2 linked regions of the Oreochromis niloticus genome follow. The protein of the gene in region 1 interacts with the protein of each later gene in a biochemical or structural test. Links are inferred from orthologs where the notes say so. Each region holds a gene or a part of one and is shown in the gene's direction. Other genes may lie near its edges.

Region 1 (7,438 bases):
ACAACCATGTATTCCATGTAATGTGATCACATGAAAATTGTTATATTATACATAATATTGTGTATGTTCGATTACATTTTGTTTATTGTCCTTTGAGACAACCAACACCTGCAGGAAGCATCCTAATCAGATGCCTGAACCACTTCGACTGGCTCCTTTCAATGTGGAGGAGCAGCAGCTCTACTCCAAATCCAATTTGAATAACCGAGCTCTTCACCATCACTTTAAGGGAGAGCTCCACCACCCTTTTCATTGCTTATATCTGCAGCCTCATTCTTTTGGGTATTATTACAGTCTTCATAAATACATAAAAGGCTAAAGAAAATTTATACATGCTTGTGACCTCTTTTAAACACTTTTTCTCCAAGAAACATGGTAAATGGGCTGGATATTTATACTACATGCGTCATTCACCCATGCACACCTATTCATAAATCACTTTTTTCTACTCATAAATCCTTTCTAGCTAAATTTCACACACATTCATACTCCGATAAATGCGTTGGGGAGCAACCTGAGGTTCAGTATCTTGCCTAAGCATATTTGGTATGCAGACTGGAGCAGCCAAGGATCCAGCCACCAACCATATAAAGATAAAACATGAAGAACACACAGATACAAAACGTATTCTCTGGAGAACTCTATTTTTTTAACTGCTAAATTTTCTAGAAATTAAAATGCAACTGTCCTCTGCAGTAGAACATATGCGTCAGCTGTTATAGTCTATCTATGGGTGAGTTTAGTGAAATCATACATTATGTGATAACAAGATAGATAGATAGATAGATAGATAGAGATAAATTAGGGACTAATCGAATCATTTAAAATATTTTTCACACGCACCTGTTGATTTTGTTTTCTGGTTTCTCCAGTTCCATCTGTGATTCCAAGCATACTGTCAACCACAGAAAGTAACGAAAGGATAAAAATAGCACTACCTGAATCCTCTGGTAAGAAAGGAAAGAAAATATTCTTGATGCTCGGAGTCAGCGCAGTATGTTTTGGGAAACTATGAAAAACCACTGTGTCACAAGCAAAGTTCTTTTGTTCGCAGTATCTTTCTCTGGCAACACCCTCAACATTTCCTACATCCTTTATGCAACTATCCCTGCGCTGCTGTTGCTGTTGTTTGCAGCTGCTGGTTTCTTTTGCTACAAACAGCATGCTAAGAGGTAAAACTATAACTATAAAAAGCTATGAGAGATTTTTTTTTTTTTAAATGCATTTGATTATATGAGTATGTCCTGTTGATTTTAACTTGGGCCCTCTTTCATATTTAGGAGGAAGACAGAAACAGAAAGCTATCCCAGCAGATCAAAACAGTGGGTGCTAGCAACAGCTTCATCTTGCCCTGTGCAAGGACCTTATGCCTACAGTGACATTACCAAACTGCCTCACACTGCTCTGGACAGCAGGATAGCAGCAGAAATCATGACAAAGTACTCCGGTTCTCCGTCCCATGACTCCCAGTGCAACGATTATGAGAATGTGTCGTGTGTGGACAATGAGAGCGGCTTTGTCACCAATGACATTTACGAGCCCTGCAGAGCTCAAAGCCGGCGCTGCCGCAGTCAGACTGGATGGGTGGAAAATGAGATCTATGGATAACACCGGTGTCTGCAAATGTCCGTCAACCACAGACAGACTACAGTTACACTGTGCGGTGCAGGATTTCTAAGCAGCTTGGCCATATCTGCACAGGTTTCACTCAGTTTTCTAGTCCTGCATGTAGAATGTACTGTGTCTGCAAATCAGTGTATTCCATAAAACAGGGATTCTTAATGTTTTGTCCATGACTCAGTATTCACCTACACATGACTTTATATTTCTGATGTTTTAATAAAAATGTGTTACAGTCAGACCAATGGCACTGTTAGCTCCGTGAATCACTGTGATAGCATGCTGATAGATGTAGACACATTGTTTTCCATATTCACCATCATAGTATGGATGCCCAAAATTGCAGACTAGTTCCACACACTAAATAAAGCTGAAGCTAATCGAATCTGATTGAAAAAGAAAAGGATGAGAAGTTAAAGGACTGCCAAAGTGATTCTGAAGAGGGCACGGATGTGTGTATACAATTTCATAGTAATCCATCCAACAGCTGTTGAGACCCTTGTTGTAATCCACTAATCTTATAGTGGCATTACTACATTACAGGCTATGCACTGAAATGCATAGGCTGGAAACTGCAAAAATACAAAACCAAATCATGTCATAAAGGTTCCAATATTTCATAAGGTTAATGAAAAGTGGGTGAAGATATTACAGAAAAGTTCAAGTGGAATATCAAAAGCATTAGTCTATTTATTGTCTGGGGAGAATGCACAAATTTTCAAGGCAAATTTTGGTCCTGTATTAAAGTAATTCAGGCTAAAGAGGCAGGCCATCTGATAGACTGCTGATAATGCTGTCCTTAAAAATTGTGTTATATTTTAAGTTAACTGAATAAATGGTAAGATCAATTCATCAAGCAGCTAAAGATGTAGGTCATGTACAGGTCTCTAAGCTAAACTAACGGAATGGGCTTTGAGTAATTTTTTATGTTTCAACTCAAAGAAAAACACGTTTTTGTGCCCACTTATTTCCTTTGTTCAGTTTAAACCTTCAGCTCTAATAAATTATGCAACATTACAGCAGCACTAAAGTTCTTAGAGGTTTTAGGAGGCATTAATGAAACCAAAGAAGCATTAATAGTTCAGGTCAGCTTGGTGGTGCAGCAGTGCTGCTGAATCTGACATAACAGATTATGCAATTAGCCTAATCCTGTAATATTGCACCCCCACAGGGTTACTCATTTTGTAAACAATTGTACATTAAACTACTCAGCTTCTCTTTTTAAAATAATGTCAATGGATATGATGAGTCAGAAGACAGAGAGGGTTTGCGTGTTGGCTTGCTGCTGTGATGGAGACTCCAACCCAGGGACTTTTTTGACCTTTTCTCTAAACTTGAACTTTGGTGTCATCCCTGTGTAAGGCTTCCTGTTTGGTCTCTGATGTCAGAGCCCAGCAGAGAACATGAGGAAACACCGATGGCTGAACTGCTGTGGCCAAAATAAACCTCAAAGTTGTGCGGTTTCCTGACTCCACCTGATTGTGCACGAGGTTCAACTTTCCCACTGATCTGACAGAAACTTGAGGCCAGTTTAGAATATATCACACCGTTAATCAATGCATGTGCATTTCCATGTTCATTTTTAAAGATCACTCTTTGCGTTACGTATACAAATGTCTGTGTTTTTTTCTAAATGTGCACCGAGTGGGTGTTGGATCGGTGTCTTGGAAAGATGTAGCAAGCCCAGTAAGGAGAGGCTGAGTGTGTTCTTGGAGAATGTTAGACAGGAAATGCCAAAAGCACATCTGGAACTCTTACATTCAGGAAGTCGATGCGTGACAGCGGAGGCCTTTGGAGCACTGCTCTGCCTGCCTGCTTAGCAATCCACTGTTCTGTTTGACTGTCACTACACAACATGAAGAAAAGCAGTGCCAGTTGCAGAGCTGTGCTGCAATTCAGACATGAAGATAGTTTCTTTTTCTGATGTGTAGTTAAGATATTTTGGCTGCATTCTTTGTTTAATAATAATATAGATATACTGGTGGGATCTGCTTGAAAGCTGCTTGAAAGCATGAAGCGTGATAAGTCAAGCACTGGGGAAAAGGAAAATATGGAGCCTCGCTTCAGTTTTCTACTTTTGCCAACAGATGGTGCTGTCATGTAGCTGACAAAAGTTTCTTTGTGGCTGATAAAATGTCTGATTTTATATGAGGCTCTGTGTATTCCATTATGTAATGTTATAGATTAGAAATGCAGTTGCATAGCTGGATTAATCAGCTACACACACACACACACACACACACACACATATATATCTATATATATATATATATATGTATGTATATATATAAAAGCAACACTAGCTGTTTGTTTGGTTTTTTGCTTCTTAAATTATTATTTTTTACTTTTTTTTGCAGACCCCACTCTGGAGGCTTTCAGGCCGGTTCAGACCGCTTTTAGCTCCTGTCTCCCCCTGCATTTTTCACTCGCAGCCGACAAAAGCTTATTAAACACCTGCAGGGCAAAAACTTCAAAGTTACCTATGCGTGCAATCAAGAAGGGCAGGCGAGCAAACAGATTTCAGAATAGCAATTTTACCGGTTGACGTAAGAGGTGGGTCTGGTTGTCCTGGCAACCAATTGGCACTGAAGTGTGGAGCGGCTCGGTGGCCCCGCCCCCTGTACAAATACCCCTATGGCTTTGACGTCAATACACGTCAACCGGAGAACATGATGCCTCTTTGCAAGTCAACTCGTGTGCTCTGTCGCTGATAGAGGCGCCTCAAGCTGAAATATTATAGCTCTATTGTACTGAAGAACGTGGTGTGACAGCCCGCGGGCTCAGCAAATGGCCAGCTTCGTATCGCCACACTAGCGGACAGGGTCGCCACAGTCGCGTTCAGGCGGCCGAGGGCGACACAGAAATCAACTTTGTGTATTTTTAATGGACACGCTTCGAGCGGCGGCGGTGGCAGCAGCGGCGGTGGCGGGCGGTTTGTTTTCCTTTCGTCTTTATCTCGAGCTGCTCAAGTAAGCCCCAGTCTGCCCCTCGTGTGTCCCTGCACGTCTGGCTGCCTCCTACTCTTCCACTGAACAGTCCCGTTTTAGAACAGCATGGTCATGGCTGACAGTGTCCAAAAACCGCTGATCCGGGGTCCGGTCCGAGTGGGCTTCTACGACATCGAGCGCACTTTAGGAAAGGGCAATTTCGCTGTGGTGAAGTTGGCCCGACACCGCATAACCAAGACGGAGGTGAGTGTGTGAGCAAACTAGTTAGCCCGAAAGCTAACTTGTGCTACTGTTTTAGCGGAGTTATATAACTTTTATGCACAAGTTGACACCCCTAGATAGCGAAATGCTCTCCAGCACCGTGCACTAAATAGCATCTTTGGATCATATAACTACCGGCCACTTGGACTGCTCCGGTTCGAGCAACAGCTGGTGTGCCTGAAAGCTTGCAGGTACAGGAGCAGTGAATGACTGCACGTTCACCCCTCTCAGCTGACATCACTGCCAGTAAAAAAAAATAAATAAAAAAAAGGTCTGACCACTAGAGCTGCTGGGAAACACAAACTGTAAACATGCATGCTTTATTATTATTTTTATTTATTTGTTTTTCTGCACATGCATCCGTTTGGTTAATGACCCAGACGGCAGCCACAGTGTACCTACTCAAGAGTGACTGGTGCCGTATCTGGGGCATGCAGCATGGGTCGGTGGTCCCCTTATGTAATTCAAGTAATGATGTGATTTTTTTTTTATTTTATTTTTTTAGTTGTTTCTTATCTCAACACTGCTCAGAGCTTTGTGATGAGCAGGGTATGTCATGTCAGATATGCTGTAATTGGAAAGCAAAGTATTTTGCATGCACTGCTTTTTAGGGGGGTGGGGGTCGAGGGTCTTAACTAAGCTTGGAGTGATATTAGAAACATTGCACACTCTTAGGCAATGCAGCATGAGTGCAGAGGGAACAGGGCTCGGGGTTTGTTTGAGTTTACTTCTGGGTTTATGTCAGCTTTGTGCAGAAGGGCCCTTTCTCAACCAGTACCACGGAGTGCCACGACTTTCTGCTGTAATGACAGAGACACAAGGAATTTGCTGTAAAGGGTGTTCAGTTAGAAAAAGAAAAGGGGGCAAAGGAAAAAAATAAAATAAAAGCTGTATTGTGTGAGACAGTGATAAGACTGGAGAGCTGCTGCACACTTTGATCTCTGGAGCCTCCAACTGATTACACCGTACAGAAAAAAACAAAGATTTACATCATCCAGGCGAGACCCTTGGTAGGTTTAATGAATAACAAGGCAACAAAATGGCTCTGTAGACTCTTATCTTGTTACTCTGGTTATTAAAGCACGCAAAGTGGCACAGCATTAGTCTAGCCAGGTAATCTGCACCGTGTAACATTAACAGCTCTGTGAATGCAGGTTTTAATTTCAGGCAAACGTTACACCAGGTGATTTCACTAAGCGACTACACCTCTCCCTCAGCTGGAGTGGTATTAAAGATGAATGAAAACATGGGTTGTTTTTTAGGCTGGGTTTGGCAGAGGTCACTCAGTGATGGTCAGTACGGAGAGCGAATGCAGCTGCCTAGCTCTGGCAGTGGGCCTGGCACTGTTGTTTTTTTAATTTTTTTATTTTACAGCAGCCAAGGTCAGCCGGAGTGGCAGGCTATTAACTTATGTGATGCCATCTGCCTTGAGAATTTGCCCGGGCACAAGTGATATTAGCATAGTGTAAAGAAAACCAGTGTACTGACACATGAAACAGCAGATGTGGTGCGACGATGTGAATGTGTGGGCATATTCCCGGACAGGTTTATCTCTGTGTAAATAACCTACTTATTCTGTGCGTGGCCCCTGCATGTGATACTGACCCATTCATCCCAGTAAGTACATATTGCAGCTTGTGGCTTTACATACTGTTGAGCCATTCCCTTCTGGTCTTGTGTGTCAGCTCAGCAAGTAGTACATCAATCCATATCTGATTATAGCGTCATCATGTCTTTCTGCTTTCATTGTATGAGCTAAATTCCCCTCTAACTCATTGTCCTCCAGTGACCTTGTGCCAGCACAGTTCATGAGAAGTCTTATGTGCTGTGTGTGGGTTTAGTTTTGTTGACAATGTAATCAGCTAGCACAGATCTTTTCATGTTAGGTGCTCTGTTGTCCCTCTGTAGCAGAACAAAGATTTTGAATCTCATGCTCGAAGGGTCTGCACAGGTAGCTGGAGTGCCATTAAAAGATTTCAATTTAATCCTGAATTGAACACCTGCCTGTACGTAGCTAGGGAGATGATAATGGAAAGTGTTAAACCTATCAAAATACCCATTGCTACTCATCTGTAAGTCCAAACTGTTAATATGTTAAAGGCAGGTCAATAAGTTACAGATCTGTCGTTAAAATAAAAAGCTGTGCTCACGCTCCGTGCAAGAGAATGCATTACATTTCCTTGACTTACTTGAATAATACCGCTTCACTGACACAGTGGGCTTGAACCTAAAAAAAAAAATATGCAGTGCACTGTGATAGTCGATCACTGCAACTTTCCTGATGAAAATTTTAGTAATGTGAAAAGAATCTGCTGTTTATATGATCGTCACGCTACAGACAAAATGCCTGTGATAAGTGCCCGGATGAAAATCCAGTGTCAGACAGTATTATTTTGGAATCAGATAAATCCTCAAACCACATGACTCTGTAACCCAACTTGCCTTTCTAAGATAGTACCCTATAGTCTGTGCTGCCACATTCTTGTTTTGTCTAAGCAGTTCCAGAAGTCAAATTTATTCAGTTTTATATCGTGGAAGAATTGGAAAAATGTTAAATATTCATGTTTCTGAAGCAGTAACTAGATGCTTTTTAGAGATATTTGCTTAAA
Region 2 (7,692 bases), on another chromosome or scaffold:
TTTGAAATCCTCCTGTGACTGTTCCCGTCCATGTCCTCTTCGCTACCCGATCCGTGACAGTTGCAGATGGTGCGCCGCTCCGTTCTCCGTTCCAAGCGCTCTGTGGCTGTGTTGCTTTCCGTCAATGACTACTTCCGGGGCGGGGTTCATTCAACTGCAGCCGTGTTTAAAAAATGAGCTTGAAGGGAAAAATAAAATCTAATTTGGTTTTGGTCCTTGCTTTTATATTTACTTTGTTTGCATTGCAGTGTGGCCGTCTGAGAGAAAATACTGTGAAATACTTTTGAAAAAAAAGTGTGTTTGTGTCTTTTTTTTTCCTTTTTTTAGGCATAAAGACCTTTATATTTTTTAAAAAAAGCACACATACCAGTATCCAACATTTATAGTGACACACAACACCACTTTTTTTTCACTTTTTAAAGCAGACTTAGAGGACTGCATTAACTTAAGTTATAATAATCGTGCAATGAAAAATAGCGTTTATAATGGTTTTCAATGGGGCAGAAATCGACCACGAGGTTCGAGAGAATGTGTCTGTAGCTCAGCCATTTAAGCTCATTTAAGGAACTCAGACTGAAATTTTAAAATAAAATTTAAAAACAAAAATTACAGTGAAAATGGCTTGAAATTAAAAAATGCAAAGGCCACGAAATTGTCCCAGGTACTTCCAGGGATGTAATCTGGTTGTAGCTGCAGCTCCGATTATGTACGTCACGTGTTATTGATCATGTCTCTATGACGATGAGAATCTTCTGGAGTTTCTACTTTTAACGTTTTATTAAATATTGATGTTTTTCCGATGATTTATTCGGACATTCAGATTTCTGAACATTTCTTAGTTTTGGACCTGGAGGTAAATCCAGACACAGGTATCTCAAGCTGACTCTTCTTCTTCTCCTCCTCTTCCTCCCTCAGCTGCAGTTCCCCCTGCCCGAGTTCATCGTGGCCATGGGCTTCTTCCTGGTCCTGGTCCTGGAGCAGATCATCCTGGCCTTCAAGGACCAGACGTCGCCGTCCCCGGAGGAGCGGCGCTCTCTGCTGGTGGACTCCAGCATCCAATCCAACGATCACCGCCGCCGCCAGGACTCGGCGGACTCGGACGGTCACTTCCACGTGGACTTTGGATCTCAGTCCGCCCTGCGCGCCTTCATTCTGGTCTTCTCGCTGTCGCTGCACTCGGTGTTCGAGGGGCTGGCGGTGGGGCTGCTGGAGAAGGGGCAGGAGGTGCTGGAGATCTGCCTCGCCCTGATGATCCACAAGAGCATCATCTCTTTCAGCCTGACGGTGAAGCTGTCTCAGGCCCGGCTGCGCCGCTCTGTGGTGGTCGGTTGCCTCCTGCTGTTCGCCGTCATGTCGCCGCTGGGCGTTGGCCTGGGCATTGGCCTCAGCGAGACCAAGACATCGCCGGGGCACCAGCTGGCCCGCTGCACACTGGAGGGGCTGGCGGCGGGAACCTTCATCTACATCACCTTCATGGAGATCCTGCCGCACGAGCTTGCCGCTGGCAGGAACCGCATCGCCAAGGTGGCTGTGCTACTGGTGGGCTTTGCCGTAGTGACCGCCGTGCTCTTCATCAAACTGTAGACGCAGATGGCGAGAGGGCGAGCTCCGTGTGCGACTTCAGATGCGTCACATGGTTCAGAGCTTCATTAGGAACACGTTTTTAATTTCTTTGACGTTATTGAGAGAGGAAGACTTAAACCAACGACGACGCGAGAGCGCCAGGGGGAGGAGCAGAACAGCCCCACAAACCTGATCCGTTAAAGTTTGGCTCGTGTCCTCCTTCGAGGTCTCCTCCGACCACCTGCAGGGTTTGACGGAAACCCACCAATCAGACAAACCCCCGTGAGCCGCACCTGGTGACAGCGGGGAGCGAGAACTCCCTTTTAACAGGAAGAAACTTCTGGCAGGCTCAGGGAGGCGGGATGAAGCTAAGGAGCCGCAGCAGGCGATCGAACCCCCAGGGAGTGAAGAAGTGCATCATGGGAAGCAGACTGGCCTGCTGCGGCGCGATCTCAGAGTTCGGGGTGCAGCGGGACAGCGGCCATATTTGATGGCTGACGGAGCGTGACGGCAGGTCGTCGACCCGTCCGAACTTCCTGTTTGGCAGCTTTTATTGGAGGTTCCACGTGGAGACGCTTTGGCTGTTTAGTTGCATCGAAGAAGCGACCAACGGAGCAAAGACCCCGATCACATGACCAATACTCCGACCTCCTCGTGAACAAAATCCCGAGGAAAGCCTGAAGTGATCCACCAACCACAAACCTCTGATGTGCTCGCCTCAGAGGAGCGACCCAGAGCTGTGGCTGATTTCAGTTTTTAGGACTAACGTGTTGCTAAACGAGGATTTCTGAGCCGACGTCTGGAAAACCTTCAGAAATCTGACTGGAACGTTTGGAGCCGCCGAGCCGGAGGAGAGTATATTTTTAGTGGAGAGCTCTATTTTAACTGACAGCAGGATTCAAACACTTATTTTTTGTAATTAAAGTATTTTTAAACATGTAAATTTACTGTAATCAAGTTTGTATCAAATTATACAGAAAATAAACACGCGTGTTTGAATGTTTATTTCATGAGGCGGCGTCCTGCAGCCGCACGGGACAGATGGCCGCAGCACCGAGCAGCTCGTCAAACGAAGCGACAGGAAGCAGAAATGCAGAAACATAAAGCTGCTGCGGACAGACACGCACGTCTGTACTGAAGTAAAAGTAGTCGATTACAATAAGACTCGAGTATTTTCAGAGACGTTAAGTCAAACCTCTGCTGCGTGACGCTTTCTCAGCTCCTGTAATCTGATTACTCGGCAAAGATAAACTGTGATTACTTATCAGTGGATCAGCAGCACTGATCCAGGACGAAGTCCGACAGCTCGACAGTCACATGACCACCTCGCCACGCGTGAAAACAGTCTGAGCAGCGATGACGCATCATGATGGATTTTTGTCCTCAGCTTTAGCCGCCGACCGTCCATCGTATCCAAACACATCGGGCGCTCGAGCCGACGGAAAACGTTTTTATTCTCATTTTATCTGAGGAACAAACAAAAAAGTGTTTTTATGTAAACTGCAGGCAGAAAACCAACATGGCGGCGGTCACTGTGCTAGGTCCATCTTTTACATACAGTCTGTGTTCCTGTGAAACAGGAAACAAGTGTTCTGTGTTTTTAAAGCTAAATGAGAACTGCCCTGAAAACAAGTTTGTACCACGTGACCTTGGAGCGTAGCGAAAAACAAACCACCGTGGCGACGACCCGGTGGCACGGGCCTACAGACCGAACGGCGACCCCTGCGGTAAACGTCAACTCTGAGTGGTCGCTGCAGGTTTCTGGGTCGCTGACAGCCGGTTCATTTTTCCCTAGTAACCTGTGGTTGCCGTGGTTATAGGCCGGTTTCTTGGCAGCTGCTCTTCAGTGATGACCTCGCTGATGTCAGGATGTGATGCGTGTCCTTGTTCAGGTGAAGAATCAGAACGGGAAGCAGCCGGAGCGCCGCTGAGCGTTCCTCTTTCACTTCAGTCCGAGCCACCTGCGGTCGGTCAGCTTTCAGCTTTCCCACCGCAGACGCTGACACGGTGTGTGTGTGTGTGTGTGTGTGTGTGATCACCTCGTTCATGTCACAGTTTCACTGGTGAGCCAAAAACACATACGGGAGTGATGACACAGTGTGAGCGCACAACAGTTCAGCAACACAGTGACACCTGTGTGACCTCATCAGTGCACCTGAGAGGACAGTAGCAGAGCGTTCGCAGCTGAACACAATCACCACAAACGTGACAGGAGCTGAATTTAAGGACGCGCACGAAGGTGGCGAACGAGCCCTGACACAGGTGACAGCAGCAGTCACAGAGCGTGTTTACAACAAAACTTTATTAGCAAACAATGAAAAGGCCAAAGTGATCAGCTGACCTCATCGTTACATCAGAAATAAAACAGGAACTTTGACCCTAAATCACAGTGAAGACTCAAAAACGAGGTGACGCGGCTGAACTACAGGTGGTCTGAAGATTTCTTCTTCTGCATTCTGTCGTCCACAGACTCGGATTAATCTCATATTCACACAGTAAGGAAGAAGAGGATCCCCACCTTGACCTTTGACCTCTAATTTCTGCAGCTGGGGGAAATTGAGGAGCAGGAGCTGTTCAGCCTGCAGCGGCTGAACTCTGCCGGCAGTGGGCGCCAACACACCTCAGCCGAGCCATCTTAGCTGGTCTGTGAGTCAGAGGTCTCACTTCCCACGAAGAAACGCTGAACTACGTCCACGTGACCTCACTTAAGTAGCTGTTACCATAGGACACCCCCCCCACACAGACTTTTTAATTCAACTTTGAATTAAAAATGAAATGAATGAATGATTAAGAGAACAGAAATACGTTCCATTATTTAAATCAATTAAATTACTTTTGTAAATATTTTTAATTATTAGCAAGATGAACACAAAAGGACTGAACACGCTGTTTTGTTTGTTCAGGATTGAAAAAATAATTAAAAGAAAAACCAACAACAGAGCTGTTGCCTCGTCAGCTCCGGGCTGTGAACCCGGTCCCGGTCCTCCAGCGGGCTGTGAACCCGGTCCTCCGGCGGGGTGTTTTCGGCCGGGTTTCGGTTGGTCCCGCTGCGGGCTTTCGGCGCAGACTCGCTGCTGGTTTTGGTGCTCAGAAAAAGCGGCGGAGTGATCCCTCTTCACCCCGCCCCTCTCTGAAATCGTTCCACTACGTCAGCTCGTCCCGTCCGCTCGGTGAAGATGTCTGCGACGGGCTCAGGCGGCTGTGGACCCGGACCCGCCTCGGGCGCCGGCTCCGGGGCGTCCAACCCGCGAAAGTTCAGCGAGAAGATAGCACTGCACACCCAGCGGCAGGCCGAGGAGACGGCCGCCTTCCAGGAGGTCATGATGGACATCACTTCGACCAGGGTGAGTGAGAGGCGGCGGCAGGAGGAGGAGAGCTGCTGGAGGAAGCGAGGCCTTGCCCGGACTCGTCGGGCTCCGGGAGAGCGCTGTGCGGTGTCTCTGCGCGGCGCTTTACTGAGATTTTGCGCAGTTTTAGCGGCGATCACCTCGTGGGGACGCAGTGTGTGGGTTTTGTTGAGTGTTTGTGCTCTCCGGGACGCGCTGCTCTTCATTTCCGATACATCGTTAGCGCAGTTAGCGCTCGAAGCTAACGCGGCTACCTTGTCTTGTTTACTATGTTACGTGAACGTCGCTGTCAGCCCCGCAGCGCCCCGCAGAACTCCGGCCAAAAACCGGACATTTTAACGCGACGTCACCTCACGTCACACACACATCCAACACCTACGACTTAATTAATTCGGGGTGTTTATTTTGTCCCTTTGGCAACTTCGGCGTTAATGTCAGCCATTGACAGGCTTTGGTTTCACGGCAGGTAGAGGAAGCTTCCATTACTCATGTTTTGTGTCTCTTAAGGAAAATAGTCTGATTTTATTTTTGATTTGTTTCGTACCGCTTTGACTTGTGGAACAAATGTGTGCGTTTTACAGATCTGACGTGGTGATTTTATCTTTGTCCACCCTGTCCGGGAAAGTTTACCTTAAATCGTGCATGCCTTACACGGACTCTGGCCTGGCGGCGCCTCTTTAATGTCAGGGTGGGCGATTGGTTCGGATGTGTTAATGTCACCCTGTCATTGGTGATGTGTGGGTGTCACTGTGATCTGAAACACACCCTCAGGTGTGAAGCAGGTGAGAGGGTCGGAGTGTGAAGGCAGGTGGTCTCTGCTGGTGTGTTTACTGCCCTGGGAAAATGTGGGAGTCTGGCTGTCAGTTTATTTTTGATGTTTGAGGTCATTTCTGACGAATTATTACAAGTTTAAAGGTGTGTGTTTCTGAAGCTGTGACTTCACTGATCCTGGTCTCCCTGCTGTGGGTTATTATGCTTAAATGAAGCTGGTGTTTTTGTTCTCTCAGTCCAGCCCGTGATGCTGCAGTGGGGTTTGGAGTTTTTAGGTGCGTTTGTGTAGTTTTATTAAGATAAGATAAGATAACCTTTATTAGTCCCACACGTGGGAAATTTGTTTTGTCACAGCAGGAAGTGGACAGTATTAGAACACACAGAGAGATGTGGCACTGAAATAATCACACAGTGGTAAAAGTTCATCCTTCAAGACTTATTTTGGGTCAAAGTCAGCAAACCTTTATTTTGAAATGAAGGCTTCAAAATAAACCTTTTATTTATTTTAGTTTCACCTTAGATGTGATAGTGATTCTACACATAGAGCACAAAATTAAAGGTAGTTCAGGAAATGCCTGAAGGTGGCTGCTGAGTGGTGGGACTTACTTATGGACCAGAGTAGACCACACCTTCTCCTGGACTCAAACCAAAGAGCCGTGGGCCCGACGGCTGAACAGAAACACAAATGCTTCAGGCTGACATCCAGTCACATCCTTCATAAACGTGTTTATTTCATACACGAGTGAATGAGAAACGGCTCAGCTCACTGTTTATGAACGTGGGAGGCTGTGCAGGTATCTTTACACTCCCACACTCTTATTCTGAAAGTTCAGTTGCTCTGTTCTTCCTGTCTGGAAGGTGTGAGTTGCTCTGGACGCTGCTGCAGGTCAGACAGGCTTCTTCCCCTCTCTGTTGAACTGCAGCTCTTGCTGATGGTCCTGGTTTGGTTCTGGAGAGTCACTCAGACCAGAAGCTGCAGCAGGTGCTGCACCGAGCAGGTCCAGGACCAGCAGCTGCAGCTTCTTATCATTATGAGGGGCTGTTTAGTTTCCTTGTGGGGTCGAGTTGGTCCTGAGAACGGTCCTGGTTCTGTGCTGGTTCTGTGTAGCTCAGATGGATTTAGTCGGGCACTGTGGATCAGGGCTGATTGTTTAGGTCTTCTGTAAAGATTTTGGCCTCCAGGGATTATGAAAGCGTGATAAAACAGAAAATATCCTCAGGTTTGATGGTTTCACCCTCTGATTTCATGATCTCCATCATTATTGGCTTGACCTCGCTGACAGGTGAATCGTGTCAGAGCTGCTTGGTCATTCGTCGGGTAGAAACCTGCAGGTCTGGAGCAGATCCAGGAGTTTAACCCGAGGACATGACCGAGCTCTCTCTGAACTCATACAGTCATGTGAAGAAGGAGGATCTCACTGGACCCTCTGCAGTGTGAGGCAAACGGAGTCCACCCCATGATTCAGCAGCTCGTAGAGCCTCCCTCAGCAGTGACGCTTTCCTGTGTGACTTTATCAGCCTTTATCAGATCTCTGTGGAGTTTGGGTCCGCTCTTCTTCACAGCGTTGCTTCAGCTCATTGAAGTCTGTGCTCGGATCACCGTCCTGCCGATTGGTCCGAGCTTCAGCTGCAGGACACACGGCCTCACTCTGGCTCTGGAATACTCTGATATACAGAGGAGTTCACGGTCCACTCGGATCGTCATCCCTCCTTCACCGCGCTCACAGTGAGCCGTTTGCTGCTGTGCACTTTACTCTCGTCTGTTGCTGAAGTCTGCTGCAGCGTTACAAACCTCAGCTGGCTGTTGTGACCTTTAACCTTCTAAATGAGGCCTGTAGAGTCAGAGATCTGTGGGGGGGGGTTTCAGGATGAATGTGGTGGGATGTTCACTCCTGGGAAGATTGTGGCATCCTGTTAGCACACCTGAGTGCTGCAACACTTCTGCTTTTACACAGGTGCTCACACCTGCTGCTGATGAGTTAACCAGTGGGCAGCAGCTGGTTGCTCCTCT

The links.
Region 2: of the proteins of sik2b (region 1) and CREB-regulated transcription coactivator 2, one has a biochemical effect on the other in vitro, tested with the Homo sapiens proteins (2 studies listed by BioGRID). The link is inferred for Oreochromis niloticus from reciprocal best matches to the Homo sapiens genes SIK2 and CRTC2.

The regions. Positions count from the first base shown.
Region 1 is NC_031979.2:21,140,732-21,148,169, forward strand, and holds the start of sik2b (serine/threonine-protein kinase SIK2), read left to right. Parts: upstream 1-4,246; 5' UTR 4,247-4,673; coding exon 4,674-4,811; intron 4,812-7,438. Other genes in the region: laynb (layilin), read left to right, coding at 873-950, 1,055-1,172, 1,281-1,608. UniProt on the Homo sapiens protein: Serine/threonine-protein kinase that plays a role in many biological processes such as fatty acid oxidation, autophagy, immune response or glucose metabolism.
Region 2 is NC_031976.2:38,038,961-38,046,652, reverse strand, and holds the start of CREB-regulated transcription coactivator 2, read left to right. Parts: upstream 1-4,640; 5' UTR 4,641-4,739; coding exon 4,740-4,907; intron 4,908-7,692. Other genes in the region: slc39a3 (zinc transporter ZIP3), read left to right, coding at 916-1,584. UniProt on the Homo sapiens protein: Transcriptional coactivator for CREB1 which activates transcription through both consensus and variant cAMP response element (CRE) sites.